Saccharomyces cerevisiae S288C: one gene and its partners. The gene in region 2 interacts genetically with the main gene of each other region. Each region holds a gene or a part of one and is shown on either strand. Other genes may lie near its edges.

What was found.
Region 1: mutations in SET3 (region 2) and SPT3 together harm fitness more than expected from each alone (negative genetic interaction), as found in Saccharomyces cerevisiae (4 studies listed by BioGRID, with this or other methods).
Region 3: mutations in SET3 (region 2) and TUB3 together harm fitness more than expected from each alone (negative genetic interaction), as found in Saccharomyces cerevisiae (4 studies listed by BioGRID).

The regions. Positions count from the first base shown.
Region 1 is NC_001136.10:1,256,222-1,260,209, forward strand, and holds SPT3 (transcriptional regulator SPT3), read left to right. Parts: upstream 1-2,474; coding exon 2,475-3,488; downstream 3,489-3,988. Other genes in the region: E1 ubiquitin-activating protein UBA2, read right to left, coding at 1-626; IAT4 (Iat4p), read right to left, coding at 1,137-1,835; SHE9 (She9p), read left to right, coding at 3,680-3,988. UniProt on the Saccharomyces cerevisiae protein: Component of the transcription coactivator SAGA complex. SAGA acts as a general cofactor required for essentially all RNA polymerase II transcription. At the promoters, SAGA is required for transcription pre-initiation complex (PIC) recruitment.
Region 2 is NC_001143.9:493,966-501,348, reverse strand, and holds SET3 (histone-binding protein SET3), read left to right. Parts: upstream 1-1,515; coding exon 1,516-3,771; downstream 3,772-7,383. Other genes in the region: SPO14 (phospholipase D), read left to right, coding at 1-5; GMH1 (Gmh1p), read right to left, coding at 246-1,067; SAP190 (Sap190p), read right to left, coding at 3,991-7,092.
Region 3 is NC_001145.3:21,548-26,639, forward strand, and holds TUB3 (alpha-tubulin TUB3), read right to left. Parts: upstream 2,137-5,092; coding exon 2,112-2,136; exon of another isoform or gene 2,017-2,111; intron 1,814-2,016; coding exon 501-1,813; downstream 1-500. Other genes in the region: PGA3 (cytochrome-b5 reductase), read right to left, coding at 1-152; phosphate transporter PHO84, read right to left, coding at 2,490-4,253; YML122C (uncharacterized protein), read right to left, coding at 4,491-4,871. UniProt on the Saccharomyces cerevisiae protein: Tubulin is the major constituent of microtubules, a cylinder consisting of laterally associated linear protofilaments composed of alpha- and beta-tubulin heterodimers.

The sequences.
Region 1 (3,988 bases), on a different chromosome or scaffold from region 2:
TTTCCAGAGGTCTCTGACGCAAATAGCTGGTTAAATAGAAAGTTTTTCGCCCAAACAATGCAATGAATTGGCTGAGAAGGAGTGGACCTGATAGTACACACAGGAAAAGTCTTTGGTGTTTCCTTCTTTGTACATTCAAAACACTCAGTTTTCCCGGGGATAATAGGCTGCATGTATCCATCAAATCCAGCTGTTCCAGATTCTATTAAGGGCAGTGATAGAAACTGTGATATTTTATTGACATACCGTCTTGCGGCCAAGTTATCAAGAGCATTGAAGATAATGTCAAATTGCTCAAACCAATGCAGTGGGAAGGTAGAAATGTCCATAACATTTCCTTGGTAAGGCACTAACTTAGAGTTATTGAAATGCTGTACTGCTTTTACGGCTGTGGTAGACTTCGGTTGTTTAATATCTTTTTGTCTAAAAAGAAATTGCCTGTTTAAGTTCGAAAGGTCAATGGTGTCCAAATCGACAATATGTATTTCACCAAATTCCATCAAGATTATATCCTTTAACAATTCAGACCCTATGCCCCCAGCACCGACCAGAAGACATCTTGAGGACCGTAATTTCTTGTAACTATCTTCACCGATGATTGTTACCAAACTTGTTTCCCTTGGCATTTTCTTTTCTTGTTTGGCGTAGCGCTCCTGATCTTGTGTGTCTGTTGAAGTACGCAATTAGTGGATTGCTCATCCAAATATCTTGATTTAGCGTAAACATACTTCGCCTTTGAAAAACTTTAACTTGAAAATAGAGTATAAAAAAAAATTGCACAAAAAATGCGGAAGCCGGGAATCGAACCCGGGCCCCATGCTTGGGAAGCATGAATTCTAACCACTGAACCACTTTCGCTAAGAAGATCTAGCTTACATAGGTTTTGTGGTAATATAAATTCTTGAGACCGTAACCGCGCAAAGAAATACCTAAAATAGTAATTGCTAACTACATCTAAAAACAGACTGAAGCTCACTAGATATGAGACTTTTCTCACATCTTCAAAATAAAGAAAACAATAGCAGGCGAAATTTTTTTGAACCTGGTTATACAGTGCATGCTCCAAAATGTCGTCTTTAAACACTACTTTTTATTCTAAATAATTACTTGAAGGGGGGAAAGAAAAAGCTCAAAAACTACTCTTTTAAGACTTTATTACCGTCCTTATGATATATCATTAAATAGGCTGTGAACCCTTCACCATTCGGATCGCAATTGCCGTTAGAGTCGACCTCACACTCACCGTATTTGAACGTCATGTAATTTCTAAATCCAAAATATTCGTACACAGATTTAGCATGCTCGGCAATAGCTTCAAGGACAATGGCGCAATTTTCTTCGTCTGCTCTCCTTTTGTACTCTTCAAAAATAGTCCTTACAGAACCTCTGATTCCTTTCTCATTTAAGTTCTTACCAATACAGAAAAGATAGTAGTAATTGATGCCATTTGGAATGACTTGCTTTACGCGAGCATTTAAATCGTCAATAAAGTCCTTGTTGAACTTTGCATCATTACTCCTTGCCTTCGGAACGTGAGGTGGAAGACTCCACACTGCAACAGCATCGAAAGTATTAACTTCGGAGATCTCACCATAAGGTGAATCCAGGAATGGCGATATGATATCGGTGGTTATTGTCCTTGTAGGCACCTTCTCAGCTAGAGGAATATTTAAGATTTTCTTGCAGATAAAATGAAACGCTGGCGAGTTACTAAAAGCAATAGACAAAGTCTCTGCTGCTCTTCTGGCATCCGTAGTCTTGTTCAGGGTACAGACCATATGGCCCTTAGCATCGTTGTTTTCTAATGGAGTTGGCAGTTTGTTCTCGAAGGACATGATGTTCGGTTACATGTCTTAGAATTATTTTCTCGAGATTAGTGAGTGACTTGGCATAATATCAGGTACAATAACTGTTATATATACGCCGGCGGCATTTCATTTTTTTCACTTATCTCAGCCCCTGGGACTCTGATGCCGTTCACACCAACGTCTGCTGTGATTTGGAGTGAAATATCTGGATACTAATAGAAATATTACGATAAAAAAGAGTTATCTACAGTTTGCTGCATTATTTTTGCGTTATCGGTCAATCAACTTTAAGAGATCACCGTACATTTCCGGCAGCATTAGCGGGCGTCTCTTAGTTTCTTTGCAATACAGTAGGAACTCCAATTTTTTGTTCGTCTCCTCGCTACATTCAGATTCAACTGCAATCTCGAAAACAAGTTTTTTATGCCGCCAAAATAGGTATACATTGCGTTCAATGCATTCTCATTCATCTCTATCGCAAGAACGTCTTGTTCAAAGCTGCCCTTTCTTGAGGCTTCAAGCGCAGCGCACAGAAAAGAAGAAAATCCGAACCATGTAATATAGATCGGCGGAAACGAAAAGTAAAAAGTAAGGTTGAAGACACTCTGAACCCGGGGAAGAGTGCATACAAGGTACCGTGCCAAAATTCAAGAGATTAGGGCAGGAATGATGGACAAGCATAAGTATCGTGTGGAGATTCAACAGATGATGTTTGTCTCTGGTGAAATTAACGACCCACCCGTAGAAACCACATCACTGATAGAAGATATAGTGAGGGGTCAAGTGATAGAAATTCTTTTACAGTCAAACAAAACGGCGCATCTTAGGGGAAGTAGGAGCATTCTCCCTGAAGACGTCATTTTCTTGATCAGACACGACAAGGCCAAAGTCAATCGTTTGAGAACATATCTGTCATGGAAGGATTTGCGTAAAAACGCCAAGGACCAAGATGCTAGTGCCGGTGTAGCGAGTGGCACTGGAAATCCTGGGGCAGGTGGTGAAGATGATTTGAAAAAAGCAGGTGGTGGCGAGAAAGACGAAAAAGATGGTGGAAACATGATGAAGGTCAAGAAATCCCAAATTAAGCTGCCATGGGAATTGCAGTTTATGTTCAATGAACATCCTTTAGAAAATAATGACGACAATGATGATATGGATGAGGATGAACGAGAAGCTAATATAGTCACTTTGAAAAGGCTGAAAATGGCTGACGATAGAACACGAAACATGACTAAAGAGGAGTACGTGCATTGGTCCGATTGTCGACAGGCAAGTTTTACATTTAGGAAGAATAAAAGGTTCAAGGACTGGTCTGGAATTTCGCAATTAACTGAGGGGAAACCCCATGATGATGTGATTGATATACTGGGGTTTCTAACTTTTGAGATTGTCTGTTCTTTGACGGAAACAGCTCTGAAAATCAAACAAAGAGAACAGGTATTACAGACTCAAAAGGACAAATCCCAGCAATCTAGCCAAGATAATACTAACTTTGAATTTGCATCATCCACATTACATAGAAAGAAAAGATTATTTGATGGACCTGAAAATGTTATAAACCCGCTCAAACCAAGGCATATAGAGGAAGCCTGGAGAGTACTACAAACAATTGACATGAGGCATAGGGCTTTGACCAACTTTAAAGGTGGTAGACTCAGTTCTAAACCAATTATCATGTAAATTTTTGTATAATTTCATCATGGAGGTGCATGGGTTTCCTTCTGGTATGATAAATGTGAGCCAAATGAATTGAAAAATACAAATAAAGATTATGTACGTAGATACGCGTTATAAAGAGGACTATCTGATCATTGGGGTCTTTTTCGTTGTGAAATTGTAACGGGTGAACTCAGTGATTAAAAAATTGCGTGATGTTGAGATACTATGGGGCGACAAGAAACTTACCCTTAGTATTCAGCATTAACAAATTAATGTTGAGGGCGTCATCTTTCACCAGGCCATTTCATTATAGTTCATATTCTCTACAGAACGGTGATACTCCTGATAAAGGCAGCACTAATAAAAATGAAATACGGACACCTAATAACGCTGTTTGGAAAGAAAATATAGAACTTCAATGGCAGCACTTGAAAAAGAAATTAAATGAATTGTATTCTAGGTTTAACTTCCACCGAGATCAATTATCCTTTCAAGTTAACAAGGCCAAAAAATCAATTCAA
Region 2 (7,383 bases):
ATTAAGGGAATATAAAAACGACCAGGAACACACCATTACCTGTATTTTCCTTTTATCTGTTATAAGCATTCGACGCTGATACATAAACAGTTTTCATTATGCATTCTTTTGGTCCATAGTGTCATTATTGCTCTTATTACTCATTGCATTTTTATACTTCAAATATATATAATAATAATATCATTATGTAATTTATGTGCTTTATCTTAAAGAACCAAATTTTTTCTATTTCCGTGTTCAATTGCTTAATAATTGTAAAAGCTTAATTTCTTGGATAAGTCGATGCCAAATAAACTGATTAAATAGATTATCGATAATCCTAATGTTGGTAAAAGTATAAAGTTCAAATTTTTCAAGAATGGCAACTGGTTGTATCCATAAAAGGTTAAAATAAAGTAATGGCCAATAGCAAAACAATATAACGAATTACCAATGAGTAAGGAAATCCAGTTTTGTAAATTAATTATGGGCAGTAGTAAAAACTGAATGAAGTATAGGCACAGTAGGATGATTAAAAATGAATTACAATGAACGTCGAAACAATAAGCCCACTCTACCACACTATTTTGGCTCGATTTGAATTTAAAATGTGACCTATTCAACAAAAGGTAAAAAATAGTTGCCATAATAAATCCAAATATGAAAAAATCTAAAATCACCATCATTACCAAACTTTTGAAAAAATGACCTATAATGCTCAAGGCCCCCATATCACTGTCGTTGTTGAAACCTGAATTATAAATCGACCAAATAATAGAACTGAGTGAAATTAAGGCTATTTGGAAGATGAAAAAGGAAGGATCATCTCTCGCCCACTGATTTTTCGTCTGTCGCTGATAATATATTGATCTATAAGCTTTTCTTGGATGGAAAATCAAATGGAACATTTCCCAGCTGGCTGTCTCGAGATCTAAATTCTTTGGCGTTTTGAAAAGCCTCCTGATTACCATCGGCACAGATTGCTGACCGTAGCCTTGTCTTGCATCGTTTTCATTACCATTATTACGCCTCCTCTGGCCTTGCGGGCCTGCTGGCAAGTCGTTGGAATAAGTCGGCAAATATGACATTGATAAATCCGTTGACTAAGTAGTGGCAATCGAAAAATTATAGTGCAAATCTGTTTCTTTCTGGCTTTTTGCAGTTATTTCAACAAAATTTAAACCTGTTAAGTTTAATATTCTAGTAAGGTCTATTGGTAATTATTTAACCGTTGGAAGTGATCGTTGTATGAAATTATCATTCTAGATTACAGGTAGTCGATACCTTTTATTATAATACTTTTATAGCATGGTATATTATTCGTAAAAAAACATTAAAGACATGAAACTAGTCCTTTGTTTCCCTGGAAATTGTTCAACCAACTCATTCATCTTACTATGTCATGATAGATGCATATCATTATCAACGACATGCTATATACAGAAAGTAGTAATAAAGGACCTTTCTAGTAAACATGATTTAAAGCGTATATACAACAGTTTTAGATCGTACTTCACAAAATACGAGAACTGAATCATGTCAGTACCTAATTCCAAAGAGCAGTCGCTCCTAGATGATGCATCCACATTGTTATTGTTTTCAAAAGGGAAAAAAAGAGCTGAAGAAGCTTCAAAAATAGGCTCTAAAACAGATACTATTGAGCATGATGAGTCTCATGAGAGAGAAAAAAAAGGAGCAATAGAAATGGCAGCAGCAGCACTGGCTACAGCATCCACAGTTTCTTTACCTTTAAAGAAAGCTACTGAGCAATCGGCGGCAGAAGCAGCAACATCCACGGCAGCAAAAGAAGAGACCGAAAATCAACCTCAAAAGCAACCTCAATGGCCGGTACCTGATTCGTATATAGTCGATCCTGACGCGGGTATAATTACATGTATATGTGATTTAAATGATGATGATGGATTCACTATCCAATGTGACCACTGCAACAGATGGCAGCATGCTATTTGCTATGGCATCAAAGATATTGGGATGGCACCTGATGATTACCTTTGCAACTCATGTGATCCAAGAGAGGTAGACATTAACTTGGCTAGGAAAATACAGCAGGAACGCATAAACGTAAAAACAGTAGAACCTTCTTCATCAAACAATAGTGCTAGTAATAAGAATAACGGTCGGGACAGAGCATCGAGTACAACTATTAGTGACGTTGGCGATAGCTTTTCAACGGATCAGGACAATACTAACCACAGGGACAAAAGAAGGAAAAGAAACCCATCAAATAATAGTATAGACTCCAAAAACGAAAGCGCTTCTGTCAATTCTTCCGATGGATTGACTTCTATGCCCAAGAAAAAAGAGCATTTCCTGAGTGCAAAAGACGCATATGGTGCAATATACTTGCCCTTGAAAGACAATGTGTTTAAAAGTGATCTGATCGAACCGTTCTTAAATAAACATATGGATGATAATTGGGTCATACAATATCCTCATAAGACCTTTAAATCTGTGTCAATTGAAGTCAAACCGTATGCTGACATTGCATATTCCAGGACTTACCCAGGCTTCACGAAATTAGGAGTTTATCTCAAAAAGGACTGCATAAAAGGTGATTTCATTCAAGAAATTTTAGGCGAATTGGACTTCTATAAAAATTATCTCACTGACCCACGAAACCATTACAGGATATGGGGTACAGCTAAAAGAAGGGTCATTTTCCATTCCCATTGGCCGATATATATAGATGCACGCTTATCAGGCAATTCAACTAGGTATTTGAGAAGAAGTTGCCAGCCGAATGTTGAATTAGTAACTATAAAACTGCAAGATACAGACAATAGGAATGACAAAAGCAGTGGAAGAAAATCAAGTAGAATAAAATTTGTTTTAAGAGCTTTGAGAGATATTTCAGAGGATGAGGAGTTATACATCAAATGGCAGTGGGATTCAAAACATCCTATATTAAAATTAATAAAGGGCATGACAATAGACTCTTTAGATGACCTTGAAAGGTATGGGCTGATAAATTCGGTAGAAACAATTTTGAGTAACGGCGAATGCGGCTGTGGAAATAATTCTAAAGATTGTTATTTATTGAAAGTGAAGAGATACGCGCAAAGTCTTTATAAATCTGTGAAATCCAGAGGAAAAATGAACAACAGATATAAATTAAATGAAATTCTCAACCAATATAATTGCAAAAAGAGACGTGAGCCACCAATTTTGCATAGGCTAGAAGAAAAGGCTCAAAATACTATAGAAAGAGCTCCAATACTTTTGAATAATTTTTATCGACAAAAATTCCTTAATCGAAATAATGGTCCAAAAATTCCTCAAAAGAATACTATTGATAGTACAAATAATCCTGATGATATTGCAAAACCCTTCAAATTCGCCTTATTTGCACAACATTCTTCTAATATTTCTGTTCCCAAAAAAAATGAAACTTCAGAAAAACCTTTAATAATTACGAAGAGCACAGATTATGACGAATCACACATTACCAATATTGAAGAATTACCAATTCCAGTTCTTTTACCAATAAACAAGACGTCAAGGCAAACTGCAAACGATGTCGAAGAGAGTCAATCAAAGAATGAACATAAATTAAGTAGAACCCCTTCTCTTTCAAATTTCAATAAAGAACTGTCAAAGGAAGCACAACACAGTCAAGCAAAAACAAAAGAAATCATGACAGAAGCTTCGGTTAATTCAAGGCGAGAATCCACTCCAGAAAGTATAATGCACTTATCAGATTTTTCGTCCTCACAACTGCATTCGAAAAAGAAATTAAGCTTTGCGGATTACAGAAAAAAACTACTGAAATAAACATGGACATTTCCTTCTTACACCTATATAAACTTAAGTATATTCAAAAGTGAATATTCATTATTCTTTATAAGATTATATTCGGTTAATATTAAATTACAAGCCTCAATTAAAAAAGTATATATTTGATGAATTATAAATGACCTATATGCGAAAAAAGTGGAGCAATAAAAAATTGATGAATAAAGGGTGAAAATGTGACAATGTGAATGTTTTAGTTCAGAAAGCTTCTTTACTTCTTGACCTATATAATGAGTAGCCCTCCTCATTGCCCATATCATTCTCTTCATCTTCATCTTCGGAGTCTTCTTCATCGCTTGATATCTCGTTATCCATTCGATCATCAACACTGGTGCCTAGTGCCACTTCTTCGTCTTCGCCATTATTATCCAATGCGGATAAAGAATTGAAAAGAATAGTCTTCGGTCTTGGTGGTGTTTTCGGGGTAGTATACAATGGATTACCAGGTCTGGCATATGACTGGCCATCATCATTAGGATCCATATAGTCATCGTCATCGCCAACACCTTCAAAGTCAAACTGATGGTGAAAAATATTCTGGTCTTGCAGTTTAGGATCTGAAGGTTGTGACCTACTAGGAAAATGGTCTGGAGGGAACAATGAAGTACCCGATGTCCATTTGTCACTCCCGTTTTCATCATTGTCCTCATTATAGAGACTATTGCCATCCCTATGTTCAGATATTTTATCGGTAAACTCTGATTCGGCACTTTTGGATTTACCATCATCACTATCATAATCATCGTCGTTAGTCTCGACGTTATTATAGTAATTTTTATTATCCACATCACTATACTCTGCGTAATCTTCTTCATTTTCTTCATTCTCGTTATTATTGAAGTTATAATATAAATCCATGTTCCCAGAATCATGCCCGTTACTAAGAAGTTCATCGTTTTCTCCATTTCCGTAGTTTTCGTTGCCCTCTGTATCACCAATTATATCCTCAGAATCAGAATTCCTAATAACATCGTCATCGCTTTCTTGGTCATTGCCAAAATCTCCCAAAACGGTGTTATACTTCTCTCTTGTATCAGCCAAGATCGTTTCACTATATTCTTTCCAAAATGGTTCCTCAAGTCGATCTGAAACAGCGGTATTGCAAAAAGTTAGCTTCATTTCATCAATATACTCTTTGAACTTCGATATTTCTTCGGCAACTAATGTCAAATGACCCATATAACCATAACGTAAACCGGTCTTTTTTTCATAGTCTTGACATGCCTTATCCGCATCTACTATCTTTTTAGTTAGGTATGCATCAACCAAATAATCTTTCAAGAGGAACCTATTATAACCAGTTTTGAGGGGACCATTGAATATTTGCTGGGCAATATCAAAAATTACATTATGCAAAAAATTATTCCAAGGGAACTCAGTGAACATATCAAGGATACTAATCAGTATCTTAGTGTCTTCTAGAGCAATCTTCAGCCTGTCTCCAACTAGCGGTTTTTCCCTTAGGCATTCTCTCACGGATTCTGTGTCAGACAAGGTTTCATCATACAACTCTACTCCAGAAGCATCATTTTCTAGCCCCTCAACTACCTTTGCGTCTGATTTCACATCTAGTTTTACACTTGATACCCCAGTATCATTTAATTCATCTTCTTCACTTCCTTGATTATTTATTTGAAGAGCGCCTAAATTTTCTGTGATATCCTTCTCTACGCAATCCTTATCATAATATGATGATTTATTGTCCACAATAGCTGTTATATTTTCCTTTTCGGTTGAAGTTTCTAATTCTTTGGCCCTTTCTATATCACGTTCTTGGGCAATCATCTCACCATTGGGCTCATTTAGCAGCGTCATATTAGAACAGTGCAATAGTTCTGCAATAAGTTCACAGATTTTAAACCTCTCAAATCCCAGAGGTTCAATATTACCGAATGGCATTTCCATTAGTGGCAACTTGGTTTTATCCAGCATATCAGCAAAATCAGGCATATGCTTAGCAAAAAGTTTGACTAAATGTATCAAGTGAATTGGATCTCGATCAGTGGGAGGGTGACTTTCTAGGGTAGTGTAGACTAGTTGGATGAAATCATAATCTGAGTTATTCTTCCTGATCAACTCTATGATAATTCCAACACCATTACTTAAGGATGTACCGCCCTTTAGCATTATCTTAATCAACTTTTCTATCATTTCTTCTGATACTAATTGCCTTGTCAATTCATTAGGACCTATTCCCGAAGCAAGTTCATTGCTTGAGTTAGTGCTTAACGTGACGAATGCCTTAATAAAATCGCCTGCCGCAGACTGAGTGGAAATACCGTATTCTGGATTAAGATGATCTAAAAGTTTAGGTATTAATTCCTGTGATTTTAGTATCTTTATGACACCCGTGGGAGAGTCAGGTTTATCCGTCGAGATAACTTTCAAAAGGAAGTCCATCAAAGACGGATTGTCAACATGTGTCAAGAACCTTGCAACCAAGCTGTCTCGGCTTAATATAAACTCTAACATCCCCGTTATATCCATATCGAGAAGTCTTTCATTTATTTTCATGAAGTAGGTGGAAGCTGGTATCGGTAAGGGAGCTGGGTGATCTAGTATCGACCACAATCTACCAAGAAGATCCTTATTTTGCATTATTGCTGCGGATATAGGCCATACATCAGCCGATAAAATTTCAGCAGCTATCCTTGCCCTTCTAGTCTCCACTTGTTCCTCAGATTCCGGTGGCAAAGTAATGCTTGTCTCTTCAGAATCAACACTTCTTTCGTCCCCAGAGTCATGATCGCTATCATTTGTAGTTTCTTCTGAGTCGCCTCCTTCTTCAGCGTCCTCCTTTTTATCCTTTCTGTCTCTTTCTATCAAAATAGGATGATCGTTTACACCTTCAATAATCTCTGGCTTTTTAGCGCTATCTGTTTCTTCGTCGAGAATCTTCTCGTTGGTAACATATTCTATCAATTTTGATAAAACATCAGGATACTTCAAGAATATTAGTAGCTTGAAATTTGAACACATTAATTCCGTATACAGTTCGTCATCATCCAGCAAATCGTCTAAGACGTCCAAATTAGGTCTATAATTTTCATATTCCGATTCTGTAGTGGGCAGAGTATTTTCTTCTTCCTTCTCTTCGTTCTCGTTAACTACATTATCTTCAGAAGCAGCGTAGTCATGTGAAGAGTTATCTTCGTCATCAGCAATATTTTCTTCACATGTGCCGGTAGGTACGTCGTCATCTTGGTCCTTATTGATTTTAATAAAGGCACTATTTAGAATCTTAGAAACCGGTGACTCTATCGAGTAATCCTGACCAAACTTCCAGAAAGAACCTGACATGCTATTATAATCTTCTCGCAGTTAAGTAAATGAAGAAATGAAATAAAAGAAGAGGATAACAGGACTTATCAACTAAACGCTAAAGTAAATGAACAAACAAAACAAAAGATGATAAAGAAAATGCTAAAGGTGAAAATACTTCAATGAGGTACCCTTCGTATCTTATAATACAAATAGAAAAAATGACAATTAACCGTACGAATTGCAAGGCAAATGCAACTCTTTATTCGTGAGCCGGCCTTTGCAAGAATAAAAAATTCTTGACTTGATAGAAAATCTATTACGAACAAA
Region 3 (5,092 bases), on a different chromosome or scaffold from region 2:
ATGAAGAGAATGGGTAAACTCCACAGGATTTTCAATTCACCAGACATATACGTGGTGATTGCAACACCAACAACGAATAGCGCGGCAGGAATATAGATCCCGTGGACAGGTTCGTCTAGAATGTTAGTTCCTTCTATGTCTTCTTTTGACATTTTCTTCACGCGGTTCTTGGAGTGCTTCCTTTTTTGTGATAAGTTTGGGTGGCAACGAGATGAGCTCAAAACTCTTTGTTTTTTATGGGTATTTTTGTCTTAGAATATTTTCAAATTTTTCAATATTCCGCGGAACATAGGGAAAAAAATAAATTTAATAAGCTATTGTTCTAACTGTACACCTAAAGGTAAGTGAAAAATAATTCGATAATTAGAGGTATCTTTATTTGGATAGAATATGCATATATATATATAAGCGTATATATATATATATATATATATGTATATACATATGGACATTAAGTAAATATAAATCTATAAGTGGGTATCGGGATCAGAGCCACTTTCTTAGAACTCCTCAGCGTAAGAATCGGCACCCACTTCAATATAATCTCTTTCTAAGGCAGCTAAATCTTCTCTAGCTTCGGTGAACTCACCTTCTTCCATACCTTCACCGACATACCAATGGACGAAAGCACGTTTGGCATACATCAGGTCGAATTTCTGATCGATTCTCTTCCAAGCGTCCGCGATGGCAGTGGTGTTGGATAGCATGCAGACAGCTCTATCCACATTGGCTAATTCGGAACTTGGTATCACACTTGGTGGCTCATAACAAATACCAATCTTAAATCCTGTTGGACACCAATCCACCATTTGTACTGTTTTTTTATTCTTCACCTGTTCGACGGCTCTTTGGACATCTCTGGTCACCACGTCACCTCTGTATAACAAACAGTTAGCCATGTACTTCCCCTTTGTTGGGTCACACTTAACCATTTGATTGCCCGGTTCGAAACAAGCGTTTGTGATTTCTGACACGGAGTTGGATTCATGGGTGGCCCTCTTCTTGGACAAGATGGGTGCGTAGGAAACCAAAGGGAAATGAATTCTTGGATATGGTACCAAGTTGGTCTGAAATTCGTTCAAATCCACGTTTAATGAACCATCGAACCTCAAAGAGGCTGTAACAGATGATATCACTTGGGCAATCAACCCGTTCAAGTTGCTGAAGCTTGGTCTAGAAATTCCCAAGTTCCTCTTGCATATATCGTAAATGGCTTCGTTATCGACCATAAACGTACAGTCTGCGTGTTCCAGGGTGGTATGCGTGGTTAAAACCGTGTTGTAAGGTTCCACGACGGAAGTAGACAATTGAGGCGCAGGATAAACGGCGAATTCCAATTTGGATTTCTTCCCGTATTCATACGATAAGTTTTCTAATAACAGGGAACCTAAACCGGAACCAGTTCCACCACCGAGGGAGTGGGTGAACAAGAACCCTTGTAAACCGTCACATTGGTCGGCCATCTTTCTAATTCTTTCTTCAACTTCATCCACTATTTCTCTACCCACTGTATAATGGCCTCTTGCGTAGTTATTGGCGGCATCTTCCTTACCGTTAATCAATTGTTCTGGATGGAAAAGCTCCTTGAAACGTCCTGTACGTACTTCATCGATAACATTGGGCTCTAAATCCACGTAGATTGCTCTTGGGACGAATTTTCCGTACCCCGTTTCATGGAAGAATGTAGAAAATCCTTCTTCACCTCCCTTAGGTTTTGACAAGCCATCCTCCAAATGGCCGTCTTCCTTGATGCCATGCTCTAGGGAGTACAATTCCCAGCATGCATTACCTATTTGACAACCTGCTTGACCAACTGTTGTAAAAAAGAAAAATAACAAAAGTTCCAGCAATCCTCCGAAGAAGAAGACACAAAAATCACTCCCCATGTAATGAGGTCAATTATGAGCTTTTTCGTCCGAGTATGCCCAGAAAAAATGGAGAAAAAGAAACTGTTAGTAAACTGTGCTGGTACAAGTCAAATTATTTGCCGTAAATCAACCAGATGGTGACCAATTGGGAATGAATCAAACCAGATCAGATCAAACTTCTTTCCCTGTCCCACAGGTGCCATTGGTTGCGAATATTGAACAAAAAAAGGAACGCATACATACCATTAATACTAATGACCTCTCTCATTGTCTCAAGTCGCTTGCTTAGTCGATTAATGTACTTTATGAGATACCTGATCTGTGTTTATATTTCTTTTAGATGTGCAATTTGTAAAACGTTTCGTGGTTTCCAGAGGCTCGAGAAATGATATGTCGGGTAACGTCTGGAACTAAAAAAGAAAGGACGATATGCTCTGCTCTGGCACCAGCCAACAGGATGGCAGAGAGATGTGAGGAAATAATGAAATTAAAAGAAATTATCGAATAAATATGTAACCTGACAGTATTTATAGATTATGTAAGGGGTTTGATAATAAGTTTATAAAAATGTTTTTGTATTATTTGTTCTAGTTTACAAGTTTTAGTGCATCTTTGAGGCTTTTATGCTTCATGTTGAAGTTGAGATGGGCTGGAAGATTCAATGTCATTATTCTTGTTTCTGAAGTTTAGCGTAGCAGGATCGATTTCATCGTGGTATAGCTCGTTAATTTCTTCTAGAGTCTTTCTCTTAGTTTCTGGGATCAACAAGGTTGTGAAGATACCCAACAACATGAATAAGGCGAAAATTTCCATGACGTGAGGTAACCAACAGTTGGTTGGCTTACCGTCTCTAGCACAGTTATGGTCGATTAGAGTACCCAAAGCGGTTTGTGCAATAATGGCACCGACCTTACCAGATGCAGCAGAAATACCATGAGCAGTAGATCTGTAACGAGTTGGGAAACACTCACCAGGAACAATAAAGGTGGTTGTGTTTGGACCGAAGTTTTGGAAGAATTGACAAATGACGTAAAGAGCCAACAGACCATGGTCACCAAGTTTATGGTATGCGAAACCGATGACACAGAACAAAGCGGTCAAGATGATGAAACCGGCTAATTGAATTGGTTTTCTACCGATTATATCGACAGTGAAGACGGATACCCAGTAACCAGGTAATGAACCAGCACAAATCAAAATCAGATTACCGACAGCAGTATCATACAGTTTCTTGTAAACGTTTTTGGAACCGGCATAACCGATGGTTTGCAGAATAACAGCACTGTTTAAACTCAACCCGTAGAAAGCAACATCTAAGGTAAACCATGAACCAGCAGTACCTAGCAAAATCTTACCGTACTTCCATTGACCAAAATGTCTGCAGAAATCTTTGAACGAAGCCTTTGGAGGATGATTGTCAAGAGATTCGACGGCAGTAGAAGCTCTTTCCAAACCGTTAATTGCCATGTCTTCATCACTGGTGTCGTGAATTTTCTTTTCGCCATCTTGTTCTTGTGCGGCAGCAGCAAGTTCCAACTTAGCGTTAACATCCAATTGATATCTAGGAGATTCTGGAATAGTTAATCTGAAATACAAACATGCCAACCCTAGAACGGTACCCAACCCAATAAGGATTCTCCACATTTGGTCACAAGCCTTTTGACATCTAGCATCACATTCAGCACCAGAGTTTGCGTATTCTAGTTCGCCCTTGTAAGCAGCAACCAAGATAAGAGCGATGATACCACCGGAGATTTGACCCCAAGCTTGGTTAGCAAAGACAGCACCCATGATGGCACCTCTCCATTTGGTAGTGGCAAATTCAGAAGTAATAATAGAAGATAGTGGGTAGTCACCACCGATACCAATACCCATGACAATACGGTAGAATGTTAAAACAGCAACGAAGTTAATAGCAGGAGAATGAGCAACAGTGGTTTGCAGAATGGTACAGACAATCATGATAATAAGTTCCATACCATAAATTCTCTTACGACCAACAATATCAGCTAAAGTACCAAAACCAAATTGACCAATAACAGTACCAACAGAAGTGGAAACCTTCAACAAGGTTTGACTTGGACCTGGCATACTACCGTGCCAGTAAACGTAGGACATCATAGTGATACCCAAATTAATGGCAAAAATATCATAAGAATCTGTCAAGAAACCAACACCAGCAATGGAGATGGTCTTAACTTGTTGCCAACCGAAACCTTCGTCATCGATGGACTCCAAAGCCAATCTTCTTCTTTCCAGAGGATCTTCAATATGAGCAAAATCATTCAAATGGTTGTGGAAGGCCATGTTACCACCTTCGGTAAGGTGTTCTTTATGAAGACTTCTTTCAGCAACATGAATAGTATCTTTATTGACGGAACTCATTTGGATTGTATTCGTGGAGTTTTGTTTGTTGTGTGCCCTGGTGATCTACGAGATGAGGAAAGATAAAATTTAGAAGTGAACTTAGAACTTTACTTTATACAAGAGATGAGGATGAGCTTATATATATACGTATACGAGCCACAATAGTAAGTGGATCTAAGTTGGCATTACCGGTGTGCAATGTGGTTGCATCATGCTGCCAAAAAGGAATAATAATTAGCTCATAGATGAGGTCGGTTAATTAATGAGTAATACGCACGTTTTTAATCTAGCTAATAAGCAGGCAAAACGGGAGAAGAGGGATAAGGAAAGCCTTTCACACGACATTTGGTGCATAACTGCACCGATCTCACTGATTTCGATGGACTGCGGCGAACCATAATCAATTGCCGTCGCTAATTTCCGCCCCACGTGCTGGAAATAACACGTCCACGTGGAACTATTAAATTGGCATCGGGCGGTGCGGCAGTGAGAGGAACGGGTGTTTTTCAGCCGGGCAACATTTTCTTCATAGCCGCTAGATGAGTTGAAAGGGCCCTTACGAGCAAATGCTGCACGTATAGGGCGCCTATAACAGCACCAACGTGCGTAATACTGATTGCTGTCATTTCTTGGCATGTTTTCTTGGTCAAGGTCTGTGATCTCCCCTTCCGGTTGTGTCTTTTCATAATAATATGGTTTTTTTATTCATAATTTGGTAATAACGGTTGATAAACGAGCGGCTGATAAATTAGTTTCTTTTTTTTTTTAATTTTTTTTTTTTTTGATCTCATTTCTTTTTTTATTGAATCTTTTTTTTTTTGTAAGAAAATTAAGGTTTATTAGGCAGAGTATACCGA